Linked DNA regions of Macaca fascicularis. The protein of the gene in region 2 binds, or shares a complex with, the protein of the main gene of each other region. Links are inferred from orthologs where the notes say so. Each region holds a gene or a part of one and is shown on either strand. Other genes may lie near its edges.

The links.
Region 1: RBL2 (region 2) and LIN52 share a complex: the UniProt entries of both Homo sapiens proteins name them as parts of the DREAM complex. The link is inferred for Macaca fascicularis from reciprocal best matches to the Homo sapiens genes RBL2 and LIN52.

The regions. Positions count from the first base shown.
Region 1 is NC_088381.1:142,021,235-142,028,125, reverse strand, and holds the start of LIN52 (protein lin-52 homolog), read right to left. Parts: upstream 4,151-6,891; 5' UTR 4,144-4,150; coding exon 4,113-4,143; intron 1-4,112. Other genes in the region: ALDH6A1 (methylmalonate-semialdehyde/malonate-semialdehyde dehydrogenase [acylating], mitochondrial), read left to right, coding at 4,712-4,765.
Region 2 is NC_088394.1:49,456,396-49,462,619, forward strand, and holds part of RBL2 (retinoblastoma-like protein 2), read left to right. Parts: intron 1-595; coding exon 596-707; intron 708-3,740; coding exon 3,741-4,010; intron 4,011-4,211; coding exon 4,212-4,492; intron 4,493-4,579; coding exon 4,580-4,756; intron 4,757-6,224. UniProt on the Homo sapiens protein: Key regulator of entry into cell division. Directly involved in heterochromatin formation by maintaining overall chromatin structure and, in particular, that of constitutive heterochromatin by stabilizing histone methylation.

The DNA.
Region 1 (6,891 bases), on a different chromosome or scaffold from region 2:
GGGTATAAGAGCCACACCTTGTCTCAAAAAAAAAAAAAAAAAAAAAAAATTCCCACTTAAACCTAATTATCTTCAAAACCATATTCCCCCAATCTTCTCCCATCTCAAGAAATAGCACTACCATAAACCCTACTTCTCAAATCGAAAACCCAGATGTCATCCTTCATGCATTCTTTTCCTTCACCCTTCCATAACCAATCCATGAGTAAATCTAGTCATTTCTACCTTCAAAATACATCCTGAAATCGAATAACCCGAGGAACCACCACTTCCCTCTTGGACTACTTCAACAGCCTCTTAACAGATCTCTCTGCTCCCATTCTTACCCTTTCCCCTTCACGTCCCCAAATCTATTCTCTATAAAGAGGCCAGAAATGATTTTTTAAAATGTCAATCAGTTCGTGTCACTCTGCAGCTTAAAGTTCCTCCCAGTTAAATCTGTGAATGTGTATCTACCATATTCTATAAAATCTTACTCAGCCTCTGCCTAATTCTTTGACATCATTTCTCTTCCACTCTTCCCTTGCACAGAGTAGTACTCAATATTAACATTCGTTGAGTTTTTATTGTATGCTCAGTATGCTAACCAGTTGCATAACTAGTTCATTTAATGCTATAAACAGCGGTTCTTAACATTTTCTGGGTAAGCCACATCTTTGGAAATCTGGGAAAAAAAATGAACTCACTCCCCAGAAAATACACATATGTACAAAATTTTTCAACATGTACTTTTCTCTAAACTGAATTTGTTTTGCCAAATATCCCAAAGGAATTTCCAATGGCATTTTAATTGTAAAGAACTCAACTAATACACTGCCTTAACTAAAGCATTAAAAATTAGCTTCTCTTTGTTACCAATTTCTGAGGAATGTTCAACCATAACAAAAATAAAGTTATTGGGCCAGGTGCGGTGGCTCGTGTCTGGAATCCCAGTGCTTTGGGAAGCTGAGGCAGGAAGACTGTCTGAGCCCAGGAGTTTGAGACCAGCCTGGGCAACATAGTGAGACTTTATCTCTACAAAAAATAATAAGGCAGGGCACGGTGGCTCACGTCTGTAATCTTAGCACTTTGGGAGGCTGAGGTGAGTGGATCACCTGAGGTCAAGAGTTTGAGACCAGCCTGGGCAATATGGTGAAACCCTGTCTCTACTAAAAATACAAAAATTAGCCAGGTGTGGTGGTGTGTGCCTGTTATCCCAGCTACTGGAGAGGCTGAGGCATGAGAATTACTTGAACCCAGGAGGCAGGGATTGCAGTGACCCGAGATCGTGCCATGGCACTCCAGCCTGGGTGACAGAGTGAGACTCCGTCTCAAAACAAAATAAATAATAATAACAATAAATTAGCTGGGCATGGTGGTGTGAGCCTATAGTACCAGCTACTTGGGAGGTTGAGACGGGAGGATAGCTTGAGCCTTTGAGGGTGCAGTGAGCTATAATCATACCACTGCATTTCAGCATGGGCAATAGAGTGAGAGAGACCCTGTCTCTAAAAGAAAATTTTTAAAAAAATTATTGGGGGTACAATCTAATAACCTACACGGGTGACCTTATGATACCACAGTCTGGGATAGAACTCAGACTCTGCTGTGAGTCTTACTCTCATAAATTAAGTAATTAGATGGCTGTATTTGAATTTCAGTTTTCTCCTTTTCAAAGAAGCTCCAGCAAATTTATCACGAAAAAGACAAAAGAGTAAATGACAAACATTTTCAAGTCAATGTTATCTGAATTAAATTTTAAAGACAGTGACAGGTGGAACACTAAAAATAGAAGTGAGAGAGCTAGGCCATGGAATATTTTGGAATGAGATACTTACTGAGACGTTGAATTTAAGTTCAAAGTGCTTGACTTGATTTTTTCAGATTAAAAGAAAACATTAGGTGGAGAGGAGTAAAACTTTGTAAGAGATGAGAATGAAGACTTTTAAAAATCAAGAGTGCAAATAAAGTGACCATAGGGATGGCTAGAAGACCAAAGGAAAAAAATTTAACATTTTTAATACTCTTCCTGGCCAAAGAAAGGAAACTAAATTGAGAGAAGGCAAGGAAAAAAAAAACCAAACTCAAGGAACACATCTCTAAAATCCCCAAAATTTGTAAAAACAATTTTAAAATAAACTAAAAAATTTAATAACAATTACCTCTATTTCTATCACTTGGCTTTTTAAAAAAATTGTGGTGAAATATACATAAATTTTACCATTTTAATAACTTTTAAGTATAGAGTTCAGTGGTATTAAGTACATTAATTGTGCAATCATCACATTCATTTCCAGAACATTTTCACCTTCCCAAACTGAAATTTGGTACCCATTAACAATAACTCCCTATTCCCTTTTTAAATGCCTTTCTTTCTGGCGAGAGAAGGACATTTTTGCAAGAGAGCACCCAGGAAGGAGAATCTCTTTTGACTCCAAACATCCAAATTTCTTGTTTTTCCTTCTTTTTTTTTTGAGACGGGGTCTCGCTTTGTCACTCAGACTGGAGTGCAGTGACATGAACATGGTTCACTGCAGCCTCCACCCCCAGGCTCAAGTGATTCTCTTGCCTTAGCCCCCCAAGTAGCTGGGACTACAGGTGCACGGCACCACACCCAGATAATTTTTGTATTTTTTTGTAGAGATGGGGTTTCACCATGTTGTCTAGGCTCGTCTTCAACTCCTGAGCTCAGGCAATCTGCCTGCCTCAGCCTCCCAAAGTGCTGGGATTAGAAGTGTGAACCACCACGCCCGGCCATAATTTCTAACACAGTATGTACCTGTGCTCACAAAATTTAAGACTCGGTTAAACGTAAAACTTAAGATCAAGTAATATATTATTTCTGCACATATCTAATCAATCTTTCAATACATGTTAATTAAAGACCTACTGTTCGTCAGGCACTGTGCTAAACCTGGGATCCAGCTATGAACAAGACAAACTTGTAATTTATAATCTAGCGTACAAGGGGCAAAGTTAACATAGTAACTATGCTGACAAGGAAGATACTGAGGCAATGAATAATGGTGGGGAAGGGCAACTCCAGATACTGTGTTCTAAGAAAGACTCTTTGGGAGGTGACATCTAAAAAGAGAACTGAAACTGGAAAAAAAAAAAAAAAAAAAAGTGTGTATGTTTGAGTCATCTTTTGGTCTCCCAAAGCACCTAGCATTATGCCTTTCATGTAGTAGGTACTCAATACAGCTCACCTTGGCTTCAATTTCTTCATTCCTGCAATGAACTTCCAAGATTCCTTCCAAATACAAAATCTGTTTGTCTAAGGGAGGGAAACCTATATATCAATAAAATCGATATATAGTTGGGATGCGGATGGTAGAACTAAAAATGAGTTTAAAAATGACTGCAAGACCCTCTCTAAAGCAGAACCAAAAGCAAAAGCATGGGAGTATACCAAAACAACTTGTTACTTGAGATGACTTGCATTTTACACAACATATAAACAGAAATCGTTCATTCACTCAGCCTTAAGAAACAACACGTAAAGCAGATGAAAGAGCGGTTGCGACCTGTGCAAGACAACACTTAAAAGCTCAATACTCATTCTCCTCGCGACTCTCTCGGCGAGGGGCCGAGAACGTCCCCCGCTTCTCTTGCTGCCACGGCAATGGTCCCAAACTGAGGAGACAGGAGAGAGATCATGTTTCTCTTGCGGTTCACTATCGAGATGGGGTCAGCCAGCAGCCCCTGCGAGGGTTTGAGAATCGTTCCATCTGTGCGCTCAATCAGAAGAGAACTGATCCTTTCAATGGGATACCCCAAGGAGAAAACTACAGTAAGGCACGTCCTCCAGTAACATCTCCTCCTCTACCCTCAGCCTCGCCCAAATAGAGATAAGGAAGGGCCAGGGCGACCCCTGTCCTTTTACCCAGAATGAGTCCCTCCCTAGTGCCCTCCTCCACACGCCTGGTACAGAGCAGGGAAACTGGGCACCTCTGAAGCTGCTGCGAAGAACCGGTGAGCTGAAGACGGCGATGGATCGCAAGAAAAAAAACAAAAGGGAAATGAGAAGAGCCCAAGAAAGAAATGTATGTTCGAGGGGCAGAGACAGAGTGGATGTTCCCCATACAGCAAAGAAGGAGGCTGCAGGCAAACATCCCTAAGCCGGCTCTTACCGTCTGTGGGAGACGCCATCTTCCAACCCATGTCACGTGACGTGGCCAACCGTCGGCGGGAAAACGAGGATCCATAAGCCACGCCCCCAAAGAGAAACCCTATCCCCAACTCGCAGCCACGTCTCATTCCCTCGCCTCATAGGGCAATCTTCGCCCAGCCCCTCCCCTCATCATAGCCACGCCCCTTATGCAGTTGTTGAGGTGGAGCGACAGCAAAATTCTTGGAGGGTCTTATTTACTTTGCTCAGTGAAGGGGTGGGGCCTCGGTTGCGTCCTTGGCCAATCGGAGTTCCAGGTTAGGGGGGCGTCTCCTCCGTGTGCTCAGTATGGAGTGTCCAAGTCGGGGGCGTCTTCTCTACCTCCGCCAACGGCATTGGCTGAGGTAGGAGAGGGTGCGAGCATTTTCGCTCCTGACCAATCACTTATCCCCAGGACTGGGGTGTGAGAGGAGGAATCAGGTGTTAGGACGAGTGATTGGCTGAAGAAAATAGTCCTCCCCACCAATGAGGAAGCCCGGCAGGATGGAGGGCGAGGCCTGGCAGCTGTAGTGCGTCTGAGCTGTAGAGGAGCGGGTTGCGGAGCTAGGGCGGCCGAGAGCCATGGCGGCGGTAGTGGCGGCGGCGGCGGCGGTAGTGCGAGCCAGGATCCTGCAGGCGAGTGAGGGTGGCGCCAAGGCACCATGAAGCTAGGAATTGGATCCTTTCCGTCCACTCCCTGAGCCGTCCTCGGGCGGGACCACCTTCTTGGCCCAACCCCTTTTTGGCCGGACCTCCTACCTAACCTGTGGGCCCTGTCCCATGCCCAGCCCTCACTTCATACCCTCCCTCGTCCCGGATCCAACCCTGGGCTGTTACCCTTGGCCCTCTACCCTTTTACTCCTAAGCCTCCTCTTTTCTGGCTCTCGCCCACTCTCCTTCTCCAGCTCTGCCCGCTCCCTGCTGTCAGTCTCTTGCCCTCATCTCTCCATCCGCCCACCGTCTTTCCCTTTCACCTCTGCACCAGCGTTCTCTCTATCCCCCAGAAACTACTCTTTTTGGTTATTCTGTCCCCTGCCTTGAGTGTCCACGTTGCCATTGCTCCCTTCCCCCACCCTACTTCACTGTCCGTGGTGATCCGAGGTAAGAGGGAGGGGGAACGTGAGGGGCGAGGGTCAGTGTATGAACTTTGAATTTTCTTCTAGAAGTGGACTCTAGATTTTCACCAAAGGCAGCCATTTACCGAATTATTTTCCCTAAGTGTGGCTCTTTGTATTTTCCATAGACTGGCTGTCCCCTTTCTTGCCAAAACTTTCAGTGAAACTTTCAGCCAAGTTAAACAGTTTACATAGATAGGGCACATGTACATAGGGTAGATAAGGGCACACAGTTAACGCTACCAGTATGTTCCATGTACGTTCAAGGTACTAAACATTTTCAAAACAGGTGATAGAAAGTGGGAGCCAGGTAAGACAAGAAGTCTAAGTTCCCACCCCAAATCAGCTCTTCTAGTGCCACACACCCTCATCTCTGCACTTGGGGGATTGAGTCCTTTCTGAAGCCAACCTAAGGAGAAATGGTAAAGCTACAGGAGTTGCATGCCTGAGGCCTGTAATCTCCAACTCTATAGTCTTTCCCCTGTTCATGGCCTACCAAGGATTTAGAGTATGAGGCAAGATTTACTGCAGGCAAGAAACAATCAGCAAGAAACAACAGTGCCCTTCTTATTCATTACATCCAGTCTGAGAATTTCCTCTGTATTGCTGCGCTTTTAGGTAATATTAGTATTCACCAGGTTTCCGTGAGTTCTAGTACAGAAACTTGGGCATTTTCAAGATTCTTGGCAGAGTCAGCAAAGATTCACGTTTAAATATGCTATTTAATGGGGACGGTAGAAAGGATGAGTTTGAAGGGTTTGTCAGATGGTCTGGCCTCACTCATATTTCTTGCTGTGATCCTTGTTCTGTTCTAGTATCTTTTTTTAGTAGCAGGAAAACAAAGTTTCCACCCTATATTTTTCTTACCAACTTCTTGAAATCTTTTACTGAAATTGGTTTTTTTCCTTTGCCTCCTCTTCCCCTCCCATCACAATGAGTCATTGAGAACCTTAAGAAAGTATTTTGTTCTTTTCCATCAAGGAGAAGAATCTCTCTTTCCTTGTACTTTATTTCAGAAACAGACACTATGTATTTTCTGATTCATTTGGAGAAACTTCTGAAGTGACCTAGAAAAGAACAAATAGAGTAATCCTCAGCCAACTAGGAGTTGTAACATGAAACTTTGATTAAAAGTTTGATAAAAAGTAGCCTAGAGGCCAGGCACTGTAGCTCCTGCCTGTAATCCCAGCACTTTGGGAGGCCAAGGTGGGTGGATCACCTGAGGTCAGGAGTTGGAGACCAGCCAGACCAACATGGTAAAACCCCTTCTCTACTAAAAATACAAAAATTAGCCGGGTGTCAGGCGACTGTAATCCCAGCTACTCAGGAAGTTGAGGCAGGAGAATCACTTGAACCCGGGAGGCAGAGATTGCAGTGAGCTGAGATTGTGCCATTGCACTATATCCTGGGTGACAGAGCAAGACTCCGTCTTAAAAAAAAAACAAAACAAAAAAAAAAAACCCTCGATTTTGGCAGCCATGAATATTAGAGAACTATCAAAAGGATTTATAGAGAGTTCACGTTTTCAATTATTTTAAGTATTCAGCTTATTTTTCTCTGCTATGAAGAGTAGTCAAACTTAACCTAAAACCTCTTTCTGCTCCTTGTGATATTATCACTCCCATTCAGAGATAAAGGAATGTTTGA
Region 2 (6,224 bases):
ACAGTCAGTGGGAGCCCTGAGCTTGTCTTCCTGCAACTAGATGGTCCCATCTGGAGGTGGTGGGAGACAGTGACAGATGAGCAGGCATTAGATTCTCATAAGGAGCATGCAACCTAGATCCCTTATGTGTGCAGTTCACAATAGGGTTCACACTCCTATGAGAATCTAATGCCACCACTAATCTGACAGGCGGCCAGCACAGGTAGCAATGTGAGTGATGGGGAGCAGCTATAAATACAGATGAAGCTTTGCTCGCTTGCTTACTTGCCTGCCGCTCACTTCCTGCTATGTTGCCCGGTTCCTAACAGGGTCCACGGCCCAGGGGTTGGGGACCCCTGCTTTAGAGTGGTTGATATTCAAACTCTCCAAACCAGTAATGAAGGTTGACTCATATTTAGTATCCAATTACAAGGTTTTGCATTTTTTGACTGACAAGTTTTTTTTTTTTTAACTTTATTATGAAAATGGGAAAGACAGCTGATTTTATTTAGATGGAATAATCGTTAAGAGACTTTTTCCGCCTTAGATTACTATTGGATTTCTAATTAAAGTGCTGTTTTGGATCCTGGCATTCTGTGTAACCAATTCTTCACAGGTCATGCCACCTCAGAACCTGGAAAGGGCAGATGAAATTTGCATTGCGGGCTCCCCTTTGACTCCCAGAAGGGTGACTGAAGTTCGTGCTGATACTGGAGGTCTTGGAAGGAGTAAGTTTAAAATACTAGGGGAATATTTTGGGGCTTACTATCTGGAAATTTAAATTTTATTTAACCCTATAAGTGAAGTTAATAGGGTATATATTAGAAGAAAATATTCCATGCATTTTTGTGTCACATGAATCACTTAAAAGAAGGGCCTTTAAAGACTATTTAAGAACACAGGAAAATGCATGATATAACAGGTATCTTTTAAAAGGATAGACGATAGACTGCTATATTTATTTAATTTTTTTTTTTCTTTTGAGACAGAGTCTCGCTCTGTCGCTCAAGCTAGAGTGCAGCAGCCCAATCTCAGCTCACTGCAACCTCTGCCTGCCGGGTTCAAGCAATTCTCATGCCTCACCCTCCTGAGTAGATGGGACTACAGGCATGCGCCACCACGCCTAGCTAATTTTTTGTATTTTTGTAGAGACGTTTTGCCATATTGGCCAGGCTGGCCTCGAACTCCTGACTTGAAGCAATCCGCCTGCCTCGGCCTCCCAAAGTGCTAGAATTACAGGCATGAGGCACTGTGCCTGGCCGACTGCTATATATTTAATATGATCCCTATTTTTAAAGTGTATGTTTATTTATGAGCATGCAAAATGGTGGAAATGGAAAAACCAAACTGTTAAGATCATTGTTGGGTGATAGAATTCCTGGTGATTTCTGTAAAATTTTTAAGGCAAATACGTATTACTTTTAAAATCAGGAGAAATAGAAAAGCCTTCTTAAAGATAGAGCTGCATGATCCAGTTAGGTATAGACAAGGCAGTGAGTTAAGACAACTGAGTGTGTTCTACTGTGTTGAGCTGTGCTACCCTAGTTAATGACATTACTGCTGGCCCAAGAAATACAGAAAAGGGCAGTTTTGCTATCCATCTGGTTTATATTTTTTAGGCAGCTGCTTAGAAGATCTGCAAGGTGAAAGGTTTTAGTTTACATATGTGAGAGAGAACTGCTTTTTAAAGAGCAATTCAGTAAATCCAGAGAGTTCTAAATCCTCGGATCCAATTCAAAGAATATCCTTATTTCTAGATCACTTTTATAATGTAAATGGTAAGAACTGGCTACAGAAGAAATACGAGTTTTAAAGTCAGGAATCACTCTAGGCTGGGCATGGTGGCTCATGCCTGTAACCGCTGCACTGTGGGACACCTAGTCGGGAGGATCGCTTGAGCCCAGCAGTTCAAGACCATCCTGGGCAACATAGCAAGATGCCATCTCTACCCCCCCCCAAAAAAAACAAAAATCACTCTAGGTCAGTGTATACTTAATAGACATGGATGATCCTTATGAAAAGTCCTTATTTTTGAAAGATCTGACAGTTGGTCTTTCTTAGTCTATTTTTGTAGAATTTTCCCTTCCCTAATCTACAGATTAGGAAGACTTGACTTTAAACTTCATTTTCTTTGTACTTATCACTTCTCAGTTTTCCTGAGATCTCTTGATATTTTACAAGAAAAAATGATCATAATGTATTCTTTCTGATTCTGCAGCGTTGTATCAAATACAAATCTAGTAAGTTTATTTACTTTTGTTATCATCTGGAAATTGAAATGTTAAGCCACAATTTATTAGTATTTACTCCTATCAATACTTCTTACAAACTTCCTACATATGTTTTAAAATTTAAAAACACACTGATGCACAGCTCTTAGAGGTGGACACAGAAGAAGGAAGAAATGCTTCTCAAAAATTCATACATTATTGTGAATACTTAAAAATAGACTAAGCCTTAATAGGTTGTTCAGATAATGAAGAAGTTTTACAAACAGTGGTGATTGTTGTGGCCACATTGTAAATGTAATTGATACCACTGAATCATACACTTAATCGTACCACTGAATCGTATACTTAAAAATGGATGAAATGGTAAATTTTGTTATATAAATATATATACGTATATATATTTATAAATATATATAAATATATATACATATATATATTTATAAATATATATAAATATATATACGTATATATATTTATAAATATATATAAATATATATACAAATATATTTATAAATATATATACAAATATATATATTTATATATAAAAATATACATATTTATATATATATTTTTTAAACCCACAATTTTAAAAAACTAGCCTGTAATACCAGCACTTTGGGAGGCCAAGGCGGGTGGATCACCTGAGGTCAGGAGTTTGAGAACAGCCTGGCCAACATGGTGAAACCCCATCTCTACTAAAAATACAAAAATTAGCCATGCCTGGTGGCATATGCCTCTAATCCCAGTTACTCAGGAGGCTGAGGCACAAGAATCACTTTAACCCAGGAGGCAGAGGTTGTATTGAGCCAAGATCAGGCCACTGCACTCCAGCCGGGGTGATAGAGTAAGAGTCTATGTCTCAAAAAATAAAAAAACATAGCAGTTTACCCCAAACCATTGAATTGTACAATTTAAGTGGATGAAATTTATGGTATATAAACTGTTTTAAAAAAATAAATTATGCTTAATTGAATCCAAATCATGCATGTCTACCTTGCTTAAGAACATTATTGAGTTTTAATAATTTTTATATGTGGAAAAAGACAAAGATCAAAATTGGTAAAACTGGTGGCGGAATGCTCCTAGATGACATACTACCAATCATGTCCCCTTAAGAAGTAGTGGCTGTATAGTAAAATCACATCTTACATGAGTGGTAGGTGGAAACTAAATATGGCAGAAAATATTATAGAAAAATGTAGTACAGAAAAAAAGGGTAATTCCTTAAATCATGAAGGTTCTTCAGTAGTGGAAGACAGAGTCAGGTCTGATTTGGGAAAGGGGGAGTGGAGAAAGGAACACTGCAAGACAAAAAATTCCATTTTAAAATTTGCTCTCAGTTGTGTTCACTGAACACTAATGAAAACTCACTAATGGATATAGGTAAGATGACTTGTGTAATTCTTGTTTGCTTTTTGAATTATGAAGTATTTCAAACACTGTAGTTATTTTTGAACATAACAGCTTGGATGAAAGTCAGATCTGAGTCTCCTTCAGTGAAATGCTTTGTTTGATTTGTTTTGAACCTAGGCATAACATCTCCAACCACATTATACGATAGATACAGCTCCCCACCAGCCAGCACTACCAGAAGGCGGCTATTTGTTGAGAATGATAGCCCCTCTGATGGAGGGACACCTGGGCGCATGCCCCCACAGCCTCTAGTCAATGCCGTCCCTGTGCAGAATGTATCTGGGGAGCCTGTTTCTGTCACACCGGTTCCTGGACAGACTTTGGTCACCATGGCAACCGCCACTGTCACAGCCAACAATGGGCAAACAGTAACCATTCCTGTGCAAGGTAAGGAAGGCAGAGTTGGATATTGAGTTCCTTCTCTGTGGCGTGTATTGAAAAGTTACCCGAGGTTTGGCTAGAGTGACGTAGGGGACAGAGGAGTGATGGGGAGAGAGGGTTTGGGAGAGGAGAAATTGTAAACCTCTGCCTGGAGAACCTCTTATTATCAACATTTTCTTCATGCCTTTTTTCTCTGTCACAAACTAGGTATTGCCAATGAAAATGGAGGGATAACATTCTTCCCTGTCCAAGTCAATGTTGGGGGGCAGGCACAAGCTGTGACAGGCTCCATCCAGCCCCTCAGTGCTCAGGCCCTGGCTGGAAGTCTGAGCTCTCAACAGATGACAGGAACAACTTTGCAAGTCCCTGGTCAAGTGGCCATTCAACAGATTTCCCCAGGTGGCCAACAGCAGAAGCAAGGCCAGTCTGTAACCAGCAGTAGTAATAGACCCAGGAAAACCAGCTCTTTATCACTTTTCTTTAGAAAGGTAATTTTTCACGTACTCTTACCAGAGCATGAGCTTGGGAAATACAAGTGTTAAACACAGTTTGAAATGTTTTTGTTTATCTCCTAGGTATACCATTTAGCAGCTGTCCGCCTTCGGGATCTCTGTGCCAAACTAGATATTTCAGATGAACTGAGGAAAAAAATCTGGACCTGCTTTGAATTCTCCATAATTCAGTGTCCTGAACTTATGATGGACAGACATCTGGACCAATTATTAATGTGTGCCATTTATGTGATGGCAAAGGTGAGTACCATTTTGGAACTGTAAAGGCAAATATAGGTCTTCATTACTGAGAACATTTTTTAACCGCTTTCTTGAAGTACTATTTACATGCTCTATAATTCATCTATTTAAAATGCACAACTAAAAGGGTCTTAGTATATTCACAGATATGTGCAATACTCACCACAATTTTAAAACAGAATATTCCATTATATAGTTATATGAGAGTATTTTTATCCATTTATTAGGTAATACATATTTTAGTTGTTTCTACTTTTGGCTATATGCATAATACTGCTATTAGCATTTGTGTTTGGGTTTTTGTATAGACATATATTTTCATTTCTCTACGGTATATACCTAGTAATGGATTGCTGGGTCATACATTAACTATGTTTTAACCAGTTAGGGAATTGCCAGACTGTTTTCCAAAGTACTGTACCATTTTACACTTACACAGGCAGTATAATAAAGATTTTAGTTTCTCCACTTTCTCATTAACACTTATTATCTTACTTTGTTTAAATAACTTATTGAGGAGAAATTCACATAACAAAATTAACTGGGGTTTTTTTGTTTTTTTTTGTTTGTTTGCTTTTTGAGATACTGTTTCACTCTTGTCACCCAGGCTGGAGTGCAGTGGTGCATCTCAGCTCTCTGCAACCTCTGTCTCCCAGGTTCAAGCGATTCTCCTGTCGTAGCCTCCTGAGTAGCTGGGATTACAGCCATGTGCCAGCACGCCTGGCTAATTTTTGCATTTTTAGTAGAGATGGGATTTCACCATGTTGGCCAGGCAGGTCTCAAACTCCTGACCTCAGGTGATCCACCCACCTCGGCCTCCCAAAGTGCTGGGATTACAGGCATGAGCCACCGGGCCCAGCCAAATTAACTATTTTAAATTGAACAATTCAGGAGCATTTAGCACATTTACAGTACTAAGTGTAATCAATGGTTGTATACTCACCACTTCTATCTAGTTCCAGAACATTTCTGTACCTGCAAAGTAAAACTCCTTTCCTGTTAAGTAGTTTCTCCCCATTCTACCTCCCACAGCACCTGGCAATCAGCAATTGGCATTCTGGCTGTATGGATTTATCTGTTCTTAATCGTTTATAGAAATGGTACAATAAGTGACCTCTTGTGTATGGCTTCTTTTACTTAGGATAATATTTTCAAGGTTTATCTATGTTGCAGCATGTATCAGTACTTCATTCCTTTTTATGACTGAATGATATTCCATTGTATGGATAGGCACAATTTTTTTCTCCACTCATACAGTGATGGATATTTGGGCTGTTTCCACCTGTTGGCTATAGTGAATAGCGCTGTTGTGAATAGGTATATCATGTACCTGTTTGAGTGCCTGTTTTCAGCCCTTTTGAGTTTATTACTAGCAGTGGAACTGCAGGGTCATATGGTGATACTATGTTTAACTTTTTTGAGGAATCCACCATACTGTTTTCCACAGAAGCAGCACCATTTGACATTG